Linked DNA regions of Coturnix japonica. The protein of the gene in region 2 interacts with the protein of the main gene of each other region in a pairwise test. Links are inferred from orthologs where the notes say so. Each region holds a gene or a part of one and is shown on either strand. Other genes may lie near its edges. The genes, in order: PPP1R3D, EPM2A and PPP1R3C.

Region 1 (6,416 bases), on a different chromosome or scaffold from region 2:
CAAGTTCTTCTGTGCACGTGTGTTTGCATGTGCCTGTGTTTTCTTTCTGCTTTGCTAACAAATATGTAAAACTCTACTTCTATGGAGTTCAACAACAAGCAATAAACATTAATGGAATTACTCAAGTGAGCAAGTTTCACCAAAATAAGGTTCAGCTCATGACAAGAATGGTTCTGCTGCAGTTACTGAAGGTGTGTTTCACACTACCTGACATTTGACTTAATCTACAACAGCACTGAGAAATCCTTTGCAGCAGAACTCACCCTGCAGCAGCTGACACAGTTTGTCACAATAAAGGCAGTCTGCAAACTCCAGCAACATTGCTACTGACTGTAGAGAACATCTGGGTTGACAACTTCAGATGTGTTATGTCATACACCATCATATGTCATTTAGCCACACAGAACCCACCATAGGGCACAACAAGAAGTGCCCTTTCTTCACTGCTCCATCTCTTCTGTTTGTCTTTTTTTGGCCTATGAGGAAGAGCAGTTTCAGTTCCCCTTCCCTTATGACAAAAGAGCTGCTGCTCAATTGTTCAACAGTTCCCCCTTTAACTCAGGTACAGAAAATAATGCAGGTGGACTGAAAGCTATAAATTACTCTCCAGCCTCACCCCAATCCCAGAAGTGTTCTGCCTGTCTTAATGGCTATGAAGGCTTAACAGATATGAAATATCCCAATGGAGCAGTTGTGTTATGTTCAAAACAATTACAGCTTGAATTTTTGACCTCACTGAGCTCCAAAACGAAATTAAAACACCACTGGCATTCACTTTCTGTTAAGTAGAAAATGAAAGTTCTTTTATGCAAAAAGCAAATAAAGAAATGATTATTTTTACTGTTCCCTACCCACAGATAACCACTGGTAATCCATCAGTATACAGACAAGTTAAAAACCAAAATTAATTACCAAAGGTAGGGAGGCTTATAGGAAGAGTAAGTAATACTTAGAAGTTGGCTTTCAGAGGAAAACCCTGTGAGCCCCAGCTGAATTCAACAACTTATAATTATCCTGCTGAAAACAAGCCATTCAAAGTACACCTTGCATATCTGCTGCTACACTGGACAGCTATGTAAGCTATATAAAGGAAATCCATCATCTGCGGACGTTTCATTTACTTAGGAAAGAAATCAGAATTGCACTTAAGCAGCAGTCACTAACAGAAACGGCCAAATTATAGAATGAAAATAAACAATTTGTTGTTTTCCAATACAACTGAGTTTTCACTGTACTTTGAAAGAGGTGCTAAGCAGCTCAAACAGCCGTTATTCATCAGTTGTCCCTTTGAAGCCAAAGGCTAAAGAACTGGGAAGCCTGTTCACTTCAAATCCTGGCTTTGATATTTAGCCCAACTAGTAATATTAAGTTGCCAAACATTTGAATTTTCTCCTTCCTGAATTACTTGTTGGACTTTTTGCATTTGCACATAATCAACCATGAATTAATTACAACTGTGGTTTGTAAAAATCACGTGATTTTGATGAATAAGCAGCAATCTCAAATTAGATGTCTGAATACAAGGCCTGATTTTCATCATACAGTTCTTCCAAAAAGCAGCTCAAACAATTCCACCCAGACAGCCTGGAAAATTTATGCCATAAATTTTGCATGCAAGTGTTGAGTATGTAGGAAAAAAACAAACAAATGGCCAATCTTTTACTTACTAAATTGAAGCCTGTCACAAGCCTGTGGCCAATCTCAAACCACACTAATTCCCCAGAACAAAAGTCGCAGAGCAGTAAGCATTAGGTGTGCAGTACATGTGCTGCTATGCTTTCGCTGCTGTAGAAGATAATCTGAGGACCCATTTAATACTAATTTACCATTAAAGACATTGTTTTGCTTTGAAGTTCCTGTTTCATGCTGCGAAGGACACGGCCTTAGAGATCAGCTGGTTTATAATCAAAAGCAGCTGATAAGAGCATTCAAAAATTACTTCTGCAATGGCAGTGAGATGTTGGGAAACAGGGAGCCAGGATTCAGAGTTCTAGAATCCTACTGCGAGGATCTGTAACAAGCTCAGTGTATTGTCTTTCCTTTCTCACATCTGCTTGATTTACAAGTTTACCTATTTCAAGTATGAGTGTAAGAGCATAAGTGTAATTCAAGTGCAAAATTTCTTTAGTTTTCCTTAGTAAATGCAGCCGCAGAAGGACAACTCCTGCACCACCACCTGGAGGAAAAGCCTAATGGTAAATCAGGTGAACAAGATGAGAGCTTCCCTGCAAAGCACCAGAGTACCTTTCTACACCCTGGTAACAATCACTCCCCCTGCCTACAGCAAACAGTGGAGATAAGGCACTTGAAATTAATAATAACAATAATAAAAAGGGAAACAGGGGCTGGTGGGAAATTTTCATGCAGGTTTTGCTCATAATAACATTTCTTTACTTTCCAACTCCAAAGCTAATGGAAATACTTAACGCAGTAACAGTCTTTAAAAAATTATATATGCAAGTGCTTCCCTACAGTGTCTGCCATGCAAATGGTGTGTAACTGGAGCAGTGCCCAGACTAGGTGTGATTATACAAACAAAATTAGAAATGAAAACAGTAAAGCTACACTGCCCATTTTAAAAAACAGGCAGTACAAAATAGTAAAATAGATCTGTTAGAAATAATCTATGCAATCTAGAATATTGCTAGCAACATAAAGTGTCTTCTCTTGATCTCTGCTAAATAGCCTGAAAGGATCCCTTTAAACCATTCTGCCTTGATTCATACACTGCAAGAAACCACCCAGGCTTTCAACAGATGTAGCTCTACACATTTTGGCCCTTTATGCTTTGAGAGGTTTAGAACAGTCCATCCGGGTTGCTGGCTACCTGCCTGTCGTGAAACACTGCCAGGTTTGGTAGGCTTCAATAAGGAGCACAGAGCCATGCCATGAAGAGAGGGCCGCTGAGACTACTGCAAAGCTGTTCTGCATCCACTTTCCTTCATTCAGATGAAGTGAATCCAGCTCTCCTCGCATTCTCTAGGCATCTTGAGGGGGTGAGTCCGGCAACTGAGGCTGTAGTTTTTGCCTTTGTTGTTATCCCAATACTCCTGCCCATTGACTTGATACCTTGCTGCAAACTGGACTACAGAGCACAGCTGAAGGAGGAAAGAAGGCACAGGGAGAAAAAAAGTGAAAACATCAACTTGATCCTGCCCGTTTTTCTCAGGGATACTACTGTGCCAATGAGCACACACTTCATGGAGGCTTTTCCACTGGTTGAAGGTATATCGCACAGACACTTGTTTCTCAAAAGCAAGATTGCAAACTTGGATGGTGCCACTGACCCCCAGATCTGAACTGGTCACTCGTTCAAGACACACCTGCTGCTCCTGAAGTCGAGCAGAGAAATCCACGCTGTCTGCAGGCTGCTGGAAATCAGGGACTAAGCACTGCATAGTAAACTCCAAGTTGCTGTACCAGAGGTCTGAGTTTATGGAGAGCCTGGAAAGGACGTGTAGGGGGATGGAAGGATCCTCCCCTTTCTGGAAGACTTTCACTTCAGTCAGCTCCAAGCCCAGAGCATCAGCAAATCTCACCTTGTTCATGCGGCTCTGGCACACAGGAGCTTGACACTGCACTCGCTTCTTTCTTTCAGGTGTCGTAGGCAAAGACCTTGCTCGGCGGCGGATGATAGGCCGCAGTGCTGGATCACAGCTGCTGGAAGTGCTGCTCTGAGGCTGATGTGGCTGGGTCGCCGCCTTGACTGGGGTATGGCTCACAAGATGTGGGCTGCTGCTTGGACGTACCACCGAGGGCTGCTGCTGTCCTTGTCCTGGTGCCCCTTGTGCCCGCAGCATGTTCTCATAGAGATCAGACAGGTAGCTGCGATTCCTCCGAGGACCGTGCACCTCCATTCTTCACTGATGGCAGTGCTGATGGTAACACTGCTGGTGCCAAGCGCTGCCTCTTTAAAGGAACTTGGGAAAAAGCCACACACAGTGAGGATTTGAGGATACTGCCCTGGCTCGAGAAGAGTAAGCTGGAACAACTTGGCCTTCTGCAAAGAAAGGCAGAAAACAGGCAGCTCTCACAGCAGCTGAGAGCAAAGCAGAGCCTGGAGTGTTGCGTGGGGAAGCTGAATACAGACTCACTGGCTGGTGAACTCCAGGCTGGTGGACCCGTTGCTCAGGCTGGAAAGAGATTCAAGACTGTCACCCGCAATGCTGGAGGACCGCAGACTGTCGCACAGGCTGGGGACGGACTGGAGGCTGTCGTGTTGGCTGCCGAAGGACTCCAGGCTGTCACTGATATCGCGGGGTGCGTGAGGGCTGCAGCGGTGCACCCCGAAGCAGCCCGGACCATTACACGCCGCGAGCCGGACCTGCAGGCTGTCCTCGCAGGGGCTGACCGAGCCCAGGCTCCTGCAGCGGCACCCGGGACACTCGAGGCTGTCGCACTGGATGCTGGGCGACTCGCGGCCGCTGCAGAGGCCGGGGAAGGCTTGGAGGCTGTCGGGTGGGAGCGAGCCGGAGCTGAGGCTGCTGCACAGGCTGGAGGGAGTGAGGAGGCTGTCGGGCGGGGCCGGGGTAGCGGACTCGGTACCGTGACTGGAAGGGGAGGGATCGGCAGCCGGGGTCTGCACAGCCCACATCAGTGCCCAGCTGCACGAGCACCAGCCCGGCCGTACACAGACCCCTCACGCCCAACCCGCTTAACAGCGCCTGCCCGGAACTTCGACCATCCCCGCCCACACCGCGCCCCCCTGCCCATCAAAATGAACGGCCAATACGCTCCGCCCCAGGCTCATGCGCAGCCGCCGCCTGACGTCTCTTGCCTTGGGGTGCCCTTAATGCCGGTGGCTGCTGGCAGGAAGGCAGGTACGGGCGGGATGGGGGCGGTGGTGCTGAGGGGTTGGTGGGACCGTGCGGCTCTGGACCCCCAAGGTCCGAATCGATGGGGAAACAGGCAGTGTGTCCTGCTGGGCTTTGTGCTGGGGAGAGCAGCAGTGAGAAACAGGACTGTGTCAAAATAAACGTGAATAATAGGAACGCATCTAAAGATTAAATCTATCTATAGAACTGCAACAAAACTGAGGGTGGGTGTAGAGAGGTGCGGAACATCTGTCACCTCCTGGGAACTGTATTGTGCAGCCCCGGGAGGGGAGTGAGGTTTCTGGAAGATGAAGGAATGCTGCATGCTCTGCTGAGGCTGTTTTTAGTGGGGATGGATGAGCAGCGAGAGGTTTGGTTTGGGAGAACAGCAAAGCATCTGATACGTGTACATATGTGAATGCAGAAACACCCCTTGGCTCCGCTCAATGCACTGCAGGCAGAGCAACATGCAGGGCTCAGTGCGCAGTGAAAAGCAGCTCCCCTATTGCTGCTGCACATCATATATTTTTCTGTATCTTTAGCAACACGGTGGGTGCTGGGTGTGCTGAGCAGTGCTGGCCCAGCTCATGTCGCTGCAGTGCTGCATCCCTACAGCTGGTGGTGAGCACTGCGCTGTGCAGCACTCCTGGCCAACCTGGTGCTGAGCGCTGTGTGCGGCCTTAGTGAGATGAATATGTGACTGCTAAGGGATGGGACGGCGCATCCCGGTGCCATCTGGTAGCTAATTCATGTTTGTTGTTCTGCTTTAATAATCATGTTGCGTGGTTTTTGTTCACTGAATGTTCAGGATGTGGTGATGTTTGAGTTTGGCACGCTGTGCTGTGTGGATCAGAAAGAATGGAGCCATTGGAGGATTATGTAAAGATAAAGATGTAGATACCGCTTTAAAAGTGTAATAATGGGACCAGGCATTCAAGAACATCCTTTATTACTGCACCAAAAGGCACAGAAAAAGGAAAGCCAAATCAATGAAAACCACAAAGGAATGGTAAAGTAAGGACATTATTTTCTTTCCTTCTAGTTATAGAAAGTACTGTAGAAGAGGTGATAAGTGCATGACAGCACAGTTCAAATTCTCATCCTCCTCTCCAATCTGCAGCAACACAAATGAGTGTGTGCTCTGACTGTGCAGGTCACAAAGTGACAGAGGTGACTGCGGTACTGCTTGAGGCAGAAAACTTCACTCTCTTCTAAATTCTTGATTTGATTAAAAAATGCATATTTTTAAATACTAAAGAATAATGGTTTAAATTTTATTGAGACTATGCAAATGAAAAAGGCAAGCAAGATTTGTTGTGGCATTCCTATTGTACTGTATAATTACTTTTGTTAAAGTGCACTGGGACCAAGAGTATTCCATGCTAGCTCAATTAATAATTAATATTTACTATTTATTATATCCAAAAGGATCTTTGGGATCCTCTGATGGAAGTTTCTATATGAAGGCTAAGCTCTCTTAATATATTGTCTAATTTATTTATGTATTTTGCAGTAGTGGTATTAAAAATGTAGTATCATAGTAGCTGTATAAAAAGCAAAAGCATAGTTACTACAAATGTTAAGACTATTTGCAACCAACTC
Region 2 (6,177 bases):
TCAAATAACACATTTGAATTCTGTGTGTCACGTACTAATCCTTACTTGCATGCTCTGCTTCTTAATGCCTTTTCTGTTGTCACTATTCTGTCTCCCCCTTAGATGCAGAAAACAGTAGGCATAATTCTATTTCTTGTATTGCTGCAATACGTAATAATGCTCAAGAGAAAATTGTTAATTTGCCACACTAGCTCACTAACTCCTTGTTCACGCCTGGTTTGGTTTTCAGAAACGTTTCCTTGCACGCGCTAATCCCCTAAAAGTATCCAAAAAGCAGAAGACCATTTCATGGTGAGTTTATTTTCTATGAAACTAAAATAGTGATGATTCAATTTCTCATTCTGTGGACTAATATACATTACCAACAAAATAAGTTTGAAATCTTGTCAAAATCCAGATTTAATTCAAGATTTTTTTAGCCTATTATCCTACCCCTAAAAACATTCCTTTTATAGATTCTAATTACACTAACATTACAAATAAGCGGCCTACAAGAAAGCCCTCTTCAGCACTTAATGCTGTTTATCAACAAGAACTTTTTTTTTAATGAGAAAATAAAAACTTTCTAAGGCAACTTTCAGAAACATCTGTTGTATTTCTCTAAGACTGCTTAAGCACAGGTGTTTCACAGTGGGAGCTGCAGCTATACTAAGGACTTATAGCCAAATGTCCAATCTGATGATATAGACTAAGCCACAGAAACGCAGCTCGAAGGCAATTCAGATCATGAAATGAATGCTCTTTTCATATGGTGGAAATAAGAACAAATGCAAAGATAAAATAATGGATGGTAATAACAAAATACATAATGTAGAAGTCTTACCAACTGCTCTGAAACTCCATATGGTTTTGTACTGTATATTACTGTTTGCTACTTAATAACAAACCAGAAAAGATCACTAAATTAAAGTCAGGAAACAAACTATATCTAGACTGTAACTATGGCAAAATCTTAATCAAAAGATTATCCCAGTTACCTATTTTTCTACTGCTCAGTGCTTTTCAACACTGAAAATAAATTATTGACCCATACTAAATTCTGCTGTCCCTTAGAAGTGAGGAGAAGGAGTGGATAGCAATAAGTGAGGCATCTGCATAATCAATACATTTATTTCATCATTATAACCACAAATGTTTAATAGCCTTTCACAGCAATCAGAGTTGCCCTGCAGTTGTCACTGTGGGTAGGGATGACACATACCTGTCCAATTCATGTGTATGGATTTGGCAAATACCATTGCACATGCTTATTTTCACTCTTCTAATTTTGCAGTTTCTCGGGCAACTCTCCATTGCTTTATACATCTCCAGTCGACTGCTCAGCTTAAGTTGCTTAATGCTGACATACAGACAGAAAGGAAGAAAAACCTTGTTACTAATCATGTCATTATATGTGCTGAGGGAGCTGAAGAACAGAAGACCAGGAGCTACTGTACTTTGTAAACAAAAGCTTCTCTCCATTCATTATGCTGTATTCAGAAGCAGGTTTCAAACTTATTCAGTTTTGCTCATAGCAAAGTTCCCTCGCAGCTGAAAGGTTCTCGAGCACCCAGTACCACACAGGATGCAACAGGCTCACACAATTATTCAGCTATCAACATCCTACTGCACTTTTTGTTCCTTCCTAGACATTATCTTCTTTAGAACAGGACTAGAATGGAGGAAGGAAATAAAACCCCGTGTTATTTTCAAAAGCAGAACAGATGATGCTGGACTAAATACTGATGAGATTTGCGAGCAGTTGCAAGAGAAGCAGCCCCTGGCTGTACACAGCTATACACAGGTAAAATGGCGACACCCAGTGGGAGCAACGCTGCATAAAGCAGCTCCATTAAAAGGGCTGAAGAAACGTTAAACAAACTATTAACAAATCAACAAATTTCCCTTTCCACTTAATCTACGAAATTAGTAGCCAAAGCCAAAATAAAGAGAAGCTACACAGACACTGAGCCACAATCCCCTACAATGGACCATACCAAGGTCAACATCCACAGCCAGAGGCTGCTTCTAAATTGAACTGAAGACTCCCAAGGAACCACAGAGAACCATCTGCCCCCAAAGTAATGTTTGTTATGTGAACATGGATCAACATTTACTTTCCCCTCCTCAAAAGCTCAGGTACCAAGAGACCATATTGCATCATCTCAGAACAGTTTGGGGCATACCCTTAATATCTCCTTTGTTGTTCAGTGGAACATTTATCTTGCATAGTACCTACAGTTTATTTGGACCACAGACTGAAAGAGATGTATAAATCCAGTTCTAAAGAATCTACACCAAAAACAGATTACAGAAATACAGAAAGGATGTTGCTGAAAAGAAGATAGCATTGATATTCCCTTATTATTCTATTGGGTAAAATTCTTCTAGACTCTGAAGCTCAACATCATTAACTGGTTTTTGATAAATATCACACACTTAATCTTCCTGTATTTCAGGCCTTTCAGCTGAACTCACAGCAGGTAAGCAAAGTACCATTGCCAAAGAAACATTATTTGGACCACAGCACATGCAGGAATCACAATGTGAGCCCAAAGGGCCCGATGGCTTTAAGGCACAGGCCCCAGGTGAGCACCAGCATCAGTGTCATCACCTCGGGTCACTGCAAGCATCTGACCCTTTGGGGAAACAACAGCCTCCTCTCCCACCTCATCCTCCTACCGAGAGGAACCAGTTCCCCTCAAGACACAGGACACAAGCCACCAACCTGTCACTCCCTGTGACAGAATCATAGTATCATTTGAGTTGGAAGAGATCCTTAAAGGCCATCTGGACCAACTGCTCTGCAGTGAACAAGAACACTTACAGCTTGAGTAGGTTGCTCAGAGCCCGTCCAGCCTGACCTTGAGTGTTTCCAAGGTCTGAGCTCCCACCACCTCTGGGCAACCTGAGATTGGCTGCTTAAATACACACCCCGAAAAAGGATGAGGAGTAACTGCTCTATAACGTGCTATTCTCTACACGGATTACAAAACTGGATAAAAACGTGGTGAATTCTTTAATCATCCGTCTTCTATTCACCAAGTCTGATCCTTTCCTCAGTGAGGAGAGGTGAATTTCACAGAATTGTAGGGGTTGGAAGGGACCTCTAGAGATCATCGAGTCCAACCCCCCTGCCAAAGCAGGCTCCCTACACCACGTCGCACAGGTAGGCGTCCAGGCGGGTCTTGAATATCTCCAGAGAAGGAGACTCCACCACCTCCCTGGGCAGAATTTACAGCTTCATACTTCTGTATCTACAACAACAGCTCGTAGAAACTGACTAAAGTAACTGAGCTCTTAAGAACACAAGAGAGAAAAGCAGCCCCCGCAGCCCTGCCTGGCCCGGCCCGCCGCGTCAGCTGCCAGCCCCACCCCGCTCCGCCCGAGCCCCGCCTTTACCTTCCCATAGAAGCTGGCCGCCCTCCCGCCGCAGGAACTTGTACCAGAAGGGGCTGGCTGTGTCCTCGTCCGGCAGCAGCACCTCCCCCAGCCACAGAACCGGTTCCTGGGCCGCCAGCGCTGCGCTCGGCCGTGCTGGCTGCATGGGCACGGCGCGCTGCGGGTCCCACTCGCCCAGCTCCGGCCGCGAGCCGGCCACAAGCAGCGCACCGCCGCACTCTGCGATGCGGGCCGGCAGCACCACGCCGAAGCGGAACAGCATGGCGAGCTGTACCGGGCCGAAGGCGGCAGGGTATGGGGTGGGGGGAATGAAGCCGTGCCGCCGCCAGGGGCCGCCCCGCACCCTCACTTCCGGAGGGGGGACCGGGGCGGGCGGGGCGCTCCGGCTGGGGCTGTGCCTCGCTTTGGCTGCCCGCTGAGGGCATGGGATGGGCTGCTCGGCAGCACGGCCTCAAATGTCAGAGTTCAAGGAGTGTTTGGACATTGCTTTCGTAAGGTTTGATTTTGGGAGGTGCTGTGTGGAGCCAGGGTGATTCTTGTGGGTTCCTTCCAACTCGGGCTATTCAGTGCATCCGTGACTATTATCCCAGCAGATAACTAATGAACTGAGATTGCAAAGGGTTGCTCGTTACGTATATTGACTTTAGCGAGCATTACTGCTTTGTTCAATGAAGCTGCTGCAATTAGTCCAGAGAGACTTAATTTAGTGCTGCAAACACCTCATTAAATCACTGCTATACCTGCGGTGTTACAAACAGCCTCAAGGTTTGGTCCCAAATAACGTGCTTAGTGCTCAGGACAGTTATACCTCCTCTGTAGGCAGGGAGATGCCAGCCATGGTGAGACCAGGAATGTGAGGGACTGGTGGGGGCAGCAGGTGGTAGACAGCTCTTCAACAATTCTGCTGCTCTCAATTGCCTGCATTCTAGCTTGCCCTTCTGGCTGTAATTTGGCAGCTCCTACATGTAGCAATATTCAGGGCTTGCAAAGACTGAGGGAAAGGATGCGATCCAACCATTTATAGGACGGTCCTTGTCTGAATACACCCATTTCAGAAGCGTTTAAAGACAGAAACAGAGAAGTAGTAACTTTATTTAGGTCAAGTTCTGGGAACAGGATGAAGGCCTTTCAGTGAGTCAAAAGAAATCCTGCTTCAAAAGGTGGCTGCTTGTTTCCTGTGTTCGATGGCGATGACACACTGAAGAATATGTACTGCCAAATGTATTTTTAAGAATGCTTGAGCTCATTTTCACTGATCCCAATTCAACTTTTGTAAGTGATATGCCACCTCTGTTCCAAACATAACCAAAGTGAAGGGGATTCTGGCAGCCCTCCCCCTAGCCCTGTTGCTTTTGTGGAACAAAGCAACACATTTTAATCCTTGTTTTTGCTCGACCTTACAGTCAAGTTACCTGCAACCTGTCTCATAATTATCCATCAAATATCTACCCTTGTAGCATACACTTTCATTTTAGTATTAAGGGCAGTACAGAGAGCGATGGTAAACTTAGATTTTCTACCTCAAGCGTGGCAGTAGTCCTAAAAGCATCTTGTGTCTACATAAAACCCCAAAGAAGTGGTGGAGTCACCATCCCTGGAGGTGTTCAAGATAAGGGTGGATGTAGCAGTGAAGGATGTGGGTTAATGGGATAGCGGTAGCAGTTGATGGCTGGACTGAATGACTTAGAGGTCTTCTCCCACCATAATAATTCTGAGATATGCAACTGTTCATTCCAGGCACCGTTCGAGCTAAGAAGCTGCAGGATCCAGTAGCGCATCTGATAATTTAACTCCTGGCTGTTGTCTAAACCTTAATGTAAAAAGACCTGCAACACATATGTACCTTTAAAAAAAAGCTTCTTTATGTGTCAAACCCTCATTATAGACCTGCAATAAAAACTATATTTTCAGTCTTGTGCAAAATATTAGCGGTTAAATTAATTGTCCATTTCTTCTCCATATTTCACCATGATCCGTTTTGTACACACCAGCATTGGGTGCTGGATTAAGGTTAAAAATAGCACGGAGTGACATGCTCGAGTTCCTGCAGTTTTTATTGTTGAATAGTTTTTATTGATGAATACTACCAAACTGTGAAGTGTAGACAGGATGATATGGGTCTTCATTAGATCTAAGACCACGCAAACAAGACTATGTAAGTACCATAAGGTTTGGCTCCAAGCTCAGAAGTAAATGGTTCGCTGCGAGCTTTACGTAGTCTATGGATTTCTCATCTCTAAACTGGTGTTTTATATAAGAACCAAAGGATGAAGGGGCAATAGGGAGCTTACACGTGCTGCTGTGTAGTTGAATATTGCAGGAATTGAAGAAATACTTTCACTTCTGGGCCATTGCTTTAAGCCTAAATTCCTAAGGAATTAATGATAAACCAATTTCCTTTGAAAAAAGCCTTATCCTCATACCGCATGACCAGCACTCTGTCCCTGCACTCCTCAACACTGTTCTTAAACCTAAAAGCCTTTTCTGTAAGCCAGTCATCTTTAACAGCCACAAATGTAAACAGGACGATTTCCTGGTTTTGCTATATTAAGTCCCATTCCAATAAGCATGCCTTTCAGGTCCAATCAAAAAGCTCTGGCATAAAGATGCCCAAACCCTACTAATTAAATTGCTTTTAGCTGTCCCAGAAGCTGTTGTTTTCATTCATATGGGAATAAACTACCATCTGAGCGCACCATGGCCCATCTGATTCTGGTAATTGATATTGTGCCTTTGTGTCCTTGATGGCACTATAGGCTGTAGCATTAGACTCAGAGCTGCAGCTCTGTGTGCCTC
Region 3 (6,409 bases), on a different chromosome or scaffold from region 2:
CTACTGTTGGGTTGGCTGTTTTTTTTCTTCTGTTTGTTTGTTTGTTTTTTCTTCTTTGTTTTTTTCTAAGCATATCACCTTAAATAATCTTTGATAATGTTTTATAAGGCAGGAAAAAATGAGTATTTAAACCAAATAGGAACAAAACATTTTAAAATGGCAAAAGTACAGCAAGCAGTAGAAATGTGCAGCAAGGGGTACTTGGTACAACTGCTCGTGTGCAGGCTTCAAGTGTGAATCAGCCTGGAATAAAACAGCTGCCCAGGTCCTATCTGTGGCCTGCACATGGAAAGCACAGCCCAGCTGTGGGTGGTGCAGGTGGACATGGTCCCACTTGGCCCCGTGGTTCTATGGGACCACAACTTCAGTAGCACAGGCTCACAACACCTCTCCTGAGTTGCTCACTCATGCTTTAAAATGCAGAATATTTAGTAAGTGCCAACCGTGCACTCATTTATGACCCTTGGGGGTCTTGGGTCTCAATTTCAACCCCTGGAAAAAGCATCTGTAGCTCAAAAGAAAAAAAAAACAACAACACAAACACACTCTGCAACTAGCAGGGCTTGAAGAACAGTTTTTTGGTACATTCCCTAAGCAAACAATGAGGAAATATCATCTGTCACTGAGAGGGAGCCAGCAGTCATAAAAAGATAAGGAAATGGAGAGATGTGATATGTGGAGCAGAGGATTAGGGAAGGTCATCCTGAATTGATAGCACCAGGGAACAGGCCAGAACCTTTCCAGTCCTTGCCTTTGCTGCCAGGTAGTGCTTCAGGCTCCATCTAGGTGATGTTTAATGTCACCTACTGGCAGAAAGGGCAGGAACTTCAGTCACCAAGAGTCTTGCTAAGAAATTGAAGCCTTTCTGCCCTATGAATGCCTTCATTATACACACAGAGGCAGTGTATGGGTCTGTGTGCCACACTTCAGTCACTAGAGGAGACTTCTCCCTCCAGCACTTTCAGGGCTGTTTGTTTCTCTGCTACTACACAGCCTTAATCCAAGAGGAAGGCATCTTTTCGCCTGCCATGCCTTGGCCTGTGCTTAAGTGCTGTCTCCTAACAACCTCTCATGCACAGCAATAGAGCCTTTCATTCACAAACCATGTAAAGAAAAACAATTTGGATGAGCCAGAGAAATCCTATTATCTTCTATTCTTCTTCACCATAAGTCCCTTTTGTTCCATGTAGAGCATAGTGCTTCCTGTCATGCATTGTGCACAGAACTCATCTACTGATAAAAGCTCAGAATAGCTCACATACTCAGTATCATGAGTGCAGGGCTGCACTTGGGAGAGAGTGGGCAGGAAGGTGACAGTGAAACCATGCAGCCACACCAGGCTCACACAGTTGTGGGGGCAGGCAGTGATGGTGTGACTGTCGTCACACTGCAGAGACCGCGTGCTACTGCTTTCTGCCCCTTTGCTCTAGAAATAGCTAACAGCTACAACGTGGGAAGTACAGCAGGACCTCCAGTACCCTCACACTGCTGTGTGTGGAGCTGAACAGCCAATAGTACCATGCAAAAGAAACCTCCAGTTTTGTCAGTTCAGTCAAGGCCAAGTATAGCCCAGGATGACAGACTTCAGGCCCTGGCAACACAAGTATCCAGCTCTTTTTAGTCAAATCTGAGTCTGCAGTTTCAAGCTGGTGTTACTCTTGTTCTGTTAGGTAGTGTCCTGCTAAAGCAGCAGCAGGAAGAAGCCCCACATTGACACGTTAAAGTGTTCTCTTGGAAGTCTTGTAGAGCAAACCCATTTGCTTTTCTAGCTCTGGCAAAGGCCCACTACCTCTGAGCCCCATCTGAAGCTCCAGCCACCCCCGAGCCGTACCGAGGCCACGTCACCCCCATAAGGGATGCAAGAGGTGCAGACAGGCTGATCGGGACAAAGGAGAGCTCCCCATTGCAAAGACCGCTGTGAGACAAGCAGCCGGCACTGTCGACCGCGTACAGCCAACACAGCAAAGCTCGGGCTCTCAGGGGCAAGAATATCCAAGTTATTTAAAGCACAGCAGTTTTGGAAACGACTCTGCGGGATGTGCGGGGGGGGGAGGGGTGGGCATGGGGAGAGGAGAGCCCTGGATGCAGCAGGAAGCAACGGCACGGCAGCACCACGCGCCGAGCATCGCACCGACCGAACAATAACAACCACCGAAGCCCCAGGGGGCGGCACTCGGCACCGCCCGCCCCACAGCCGTGACCACGTGGAGAAACAGCGGCCTCCCCCCCCCCCACGCGGCCCCCCGGCACGCACAGCCCCGCCGCGCCGCGCCCCGGGGCAGGACCGAGCCCGGAGCATAAAGGGAGCGGAGCGAGGGGGCTGCGGAGTAACCGCCCCGCACTGCTCGCCATCGGCCGCAGGTGAGCGCTGCTGGCTCCGCTGCCCGCGCTGCGGCTGCTCTCCCTCGGGTCGGTTCGGTTCTAGCGTGCGCTTCCAGCCCCGCAGAAGGAAGTAAGTAAAGGGGAGGGGGGAATAAAATCTTCATCCTTTGGGGGAATGTACTTTTGCACTGCGCTACTTTGATTTTTATCAGGCTTGTAGAAGCGTTTAGCGCTTGCATAGTGCCTTGTGAATGCTGCTCAACTCTATCATCTTTTGCTGGCAGATTTTTGCCTCTCCTAGCAGCGTAGCCCTTTATTTTTGTTTTGTTTTTAATGTTGTATAACGTTATGAGCAGCAGCCTATGGAGCTCGTCATGGAAACTAGAGAGAATACAATACTGATGCTGCTAAAAGCCAAACAAAACTTGATAAATTTGATGCCAGTACTCCACTACCTATTATGGTAAATGCTGCCATAGCTTAAGAAAGGGGGGGAAAAAAAGCAAGAAGAACGAAGAGGTCAGTGCAGATTCTGCTTTTTTTGGCAGTGCTCTGGAATACCAGTGAGAACACTGGGAAGAAGAATGCCATTTATTTAAGTGACAAAGCAAGTGCTCTTTCTTCCCATGACTCAACAGAACTCCATATTTCCAGCAAGGATTGGATCTTTACCAGAAGAGATGCACTGCAGTAGGAGCCCCTTCTGCAAATACTGCTAACCGACCGTGGTTTCAGAGTCATAGAATTACAGAGTACATCAAGTTGGAAGTGAACTGCAAGGACCACAGAGTCCAACTGTGGGCTCCTTGTAGGACCATCCAAAACCCCAGTCATATTTCTGAGAGCATTTTGTAAAATAATCGTGGTTTTCATCGTCTGAGAGTCAGGTTTAGGAACAAATCTAAACAAAGAAAGCTGTAGCATTCTTATGAAATGCTTGCATTAGGTATGGACTTTGGGGAATATAAGGAATGGAATGTTTTTAATACGTTACTCAAAACACAAGATGAAGACAATTCTCCTTCAGCTCCTTTATTCTTTCCCCCACTTACTCAGCAATGCTCACAATGCAAACCAGCTTTTTTAACTAGACCTGGGTTAATAGCTCAAAACTGATTTAACCAAAGCCAAGCTGGGACAGGTAACTTGATTACTCTAGTGCTGTCTGCTCGGGTGCAGCAGCTGATCCACCCTGTTAGATTTTTAAGACTAGGCTCACAGTCACTGAAAGAAATTGAAGTGGATGAGCACTTTCACTGCAGGTGGATCTGTTTGTACTGGTACATTAGGATGTGCTTTATTAGCTGTTTCTAAAATCCATGTTTCAGAGGTTTGGAAAAAGCAAATTACATTCGTATTGAAAGACTGCAGAATTGTAAAGAAATGACAGTATGTTCATTCTTTTTCCTCTCTTGAACTGTCAATATTAATTTAGGCTGCATTATTTAAAGCTGTGCAAAGACCAGGTTGTGAATAATTAAGACAGCAGATGAAGCACATATGCATTCTTAACAAGCTTTTCCCCAATGTATCAAATAATAATATGCTGTCTTTCTGCTCCTTTCAGAATGATTCAGATCTTAGATCCGAGACCCTTGCCAAATTCCATCATGCCTGTGGATGTGGCCATGAGAATCTGCTTAGCTCATTCACCTCCACTGAAGAGCTTCCTCAGCCCCCTTGAGGGCTGCCAGAGAAATAACTTTGTGAACAAATTCAAACCTCTCAGACCCTGTCTCCATGTGAAACGTGATTCTGAAGCACAGAAGAGTGACTGGAACCACTCAGCAGCCCGAGCCAAGAAGCGAGTTGTGTTTGCAGACTCAAAGGGGCTCTCCCTGACGGCAATACACACCTTCTCAGAGTTCCAGGAGCACCCTGGCTGGGATCTCCAGTTTGATCTTATAAGTCTCGAAAACATAACGTCTAACCTGAAGCTTCACGAGGAGAAAAACTTGATTCTGGATTTCCCTCGTCCCTCAGCTGACTACCTGGACTTCAGGAACCGCCTGCAGAGGAACTTGGTCTGCCTGGAGAACTGCAGCCTACAAGAGAAGGTGTTGTCAGGCACTGTGAAAGTAAAAAATGTGAGCTTTGAGAAGAAGGTTCAGGTTCGAATCACCTTTGATACGTGGAAGACTTACACGGACATTGAGTGTGTGTACATGAACAATGTTTATGGTGATTCTGAAAATGATACCTTCTCATTTACTATTGACTTGCCTCCTGCCATTCCTTCTCAAGAGAAAATTGAGTTCTGCATTTCCTACCAAAGTGGCGAGCGTACCTTCTGGGACAATAATGAGGGGCAGAACTACAAGATTCTCCATGCAGAGTGGAAATCTGATGGTGTTCGGATACCATCTGCCACAAAGGACTGTTTTGATGTTCCAGCTCCAAGGAAAGGGCAAGAGAGAGAGCCCGATCAGCTCGGCAGCCCAAGGCTGTCCAGTGGCCTCTTCCCCCAGTGGCAGAGCTCAGGTGGGATTGAAAATTCATCACCATATTGGTGATAGACACTAGCTTGGAAATATTATTCCACTTGGCAGCAAACCAGTGTTAGCTTTCTGGTTCACAGAACTATATAACAAAACCACCCGGCAGGTGTGGCTGCCTTTACAACTCCAAACTCAGCAGTCTCGTTAAGCCATATTATGTTCTTGAAGTTCTTAGCCAAAACTTATCCTTGGAAAGAAAGACAAACGAGATAAAACCCGTGTGTATACCACCTACTAGAAATAGCATGCCTGTATCTTAAGTATATGCTGTGTGCTTTCTGCTGTTGTCTCTCCTGAGTCATTAGGCAGGAGACTGTGGAAGGTGACAGTGTTTTAGCAAGCTGTAGCAACTGTGTGTGAGTGTGTGTGCACAGAACTGTCACAGGAGCAGAACATCAAAGTCCATTTTGTGCCTGTTAGCGCAGCAGAGCTGAGGCAGTGCTCTCAGGACTAAAGCTTGCAGTGACCTATGTGCTTTAGCAGTAGCAGGTAAGACTGCATGGCTAAGATTTGTGGTTTCAATAAAGGTTAGGAAATTTGGAGAGGATAATGGAAAAGTAGGAGAAGGGGAAGAGGTAAGATGTGCTGCCTAACTTGGAGATAGACAGTGTGTTGATGTTGTCTTCAAAGCTGGCTTTCTAAATAAAGGAAAAGTTTATGAAATTAAAAAGAATACAGAAAATAATGCAAAGCGAGTGGTGGAAGTGACTTTGGGAAGGCATCTCTGACCTCACTGGCCTCGGGAAAAATGGATATCTTGCATTAAGATCAAATCTAACCTCGAATTCTGCCTTCATCATTCTACTCGCTTGTCAGGCTGATGGTTACCTTCTAATGTTAAAAGAAAAATGTGCCTTTAAAAAAACAAAGTCACTGTACATGCCAAAAGTAAAGGCTGAAGCCAAGGTTAGTGTATAGACTACACTGAGTGGTCTGTAAATGTCTTGGTCTGTGGCAGCATTAGGTGATTTCACTCATTGCCTGATCTAGTCTTACAGCACCTAATGGTTAAGTATCCTGCTCCCTATTGCAGAGTCAGAGATAACTTTTGAAAAGTGTATAATATAGGAAAGGTCCTTCATATTGAAGACAGTGAATTAGCTGCAGTTGGTGAAAGCAACTTCTTTTAAAAAGCAGAATTGCTGCTAGTTTTTTCTAGAATGAATATAGGCTTGCACATAAACAGAAACTGCTCAGTTTCATTGTACCTCATTTTAGAAGTTTGTTTTGTTTGTTTTTTTAAACTAGTGTATATTTTATATCATATGCTTGTAATTTAGCTTCCTGAGCTGTCAAACTGTAAGCATGGTCTGTGTTTTGTGTAAGACTTGTGGGAAATTGTCCAGCACATACTCAGCAGGTGTAAATATTGGCATACCTTCTAACTGTACAGAAGTGATGTTAACATCAAAATACATGTGACTTGTATAATAGCCTGAATCTGAAGCTACTTGTAATGCAATGAGAAGATAAATGCTAAGATGAAGTAAGTTTCTTCCACTAATTGCACTTTTTTTTTTTTCTTTTCTGTGTAACCCATGCTGTTAAGTGTCAACTAGCTATTTTAAGAATAAATTGTATTTTAATAC

The links.
Region 1: the proteins of EPM2A (region 2) and PPP1R3D interact in a two-hybrid assay, tested with the Homo sapiens proteins (2 studies listed by BioGRID, with this or other methods). The link is inferred for Coturnix japonica from reciprocal best matches to the Homo sapiens genes EPM2A and PPP1R3D.
Region 3: the proteins of EPM2A (region 2) and PPP1R3C interact in binary tests that used the Homo sapiens proteins (3 or more experiments, as listed by UniProt). The link is inferred for Coturnix japonica from reciprocal best matches to the Homo sapiens genes EPM2A and PPP1R3C.

Annotation. Positions count from the first base shown.
Region 1 is NC_029535.1:6,069,412-6,075,827, forward strand, and holds the start of PPP1R3D (protein phosphatase 1 regulatory subunit 3D), read right to left. Parts: upstream 3,886-6,416; 5' UTR 3,858-3,885; coding exon 2,946-3,857; 3' UTR 1-2,945. Other genes in the region: protein FAM217B, read left to right, coding at 5,734-5,828. UniProt on the Homo sapiens protein: Seems to act as a glycogen-targeting subunit for PP1. PP1 is essential for cell division, and participates in the regulation of glycogen metabolism, muscle contractility and protein synthesis.
Region 2 is NC_029518.1:41,847,373-41,853,549, forward strand, and holds the start of EPM2A (laforin), read right to left. Parts: upstream 3,718-6,177; 5' UTR 3,644-3,717; coding exon 3,382-3,643; intron 1,340-3,381; coding exon of another isoform or gene 1,202-1,339; intron 1-1,201. UniProt on the Homo sapiens protein: Plays an important role in preventing glycogen hyperphosphorylation and the formation of insoluble aggregates, via its activity as glycogen phosphatase, and by promoting the ubiquitination of proteins involved in glycogen metabolism via its interaction with the E3 ubiquitin ligase NHLRC1/malin.
Region 3 is NC_029521.1:17,279,936-17,286,344, reverse strand, and holds PPP1R3C (protein phosphatase 1 regulatory subunit 3C), read left to right. Parts: upstream 1-2,287; 5' UTR 2,288-2,451; coding exon 2,452-2,452; intron 2,453-2,870; coding exon 2,871-3,012; intron 3,013-3,028; exon of another isoform or gene 3,029-3,268; intron 3,269-3,889; coding exon 3,890-4,835; 3' UTR 4,836-6,406; downstream 6,407-6,409.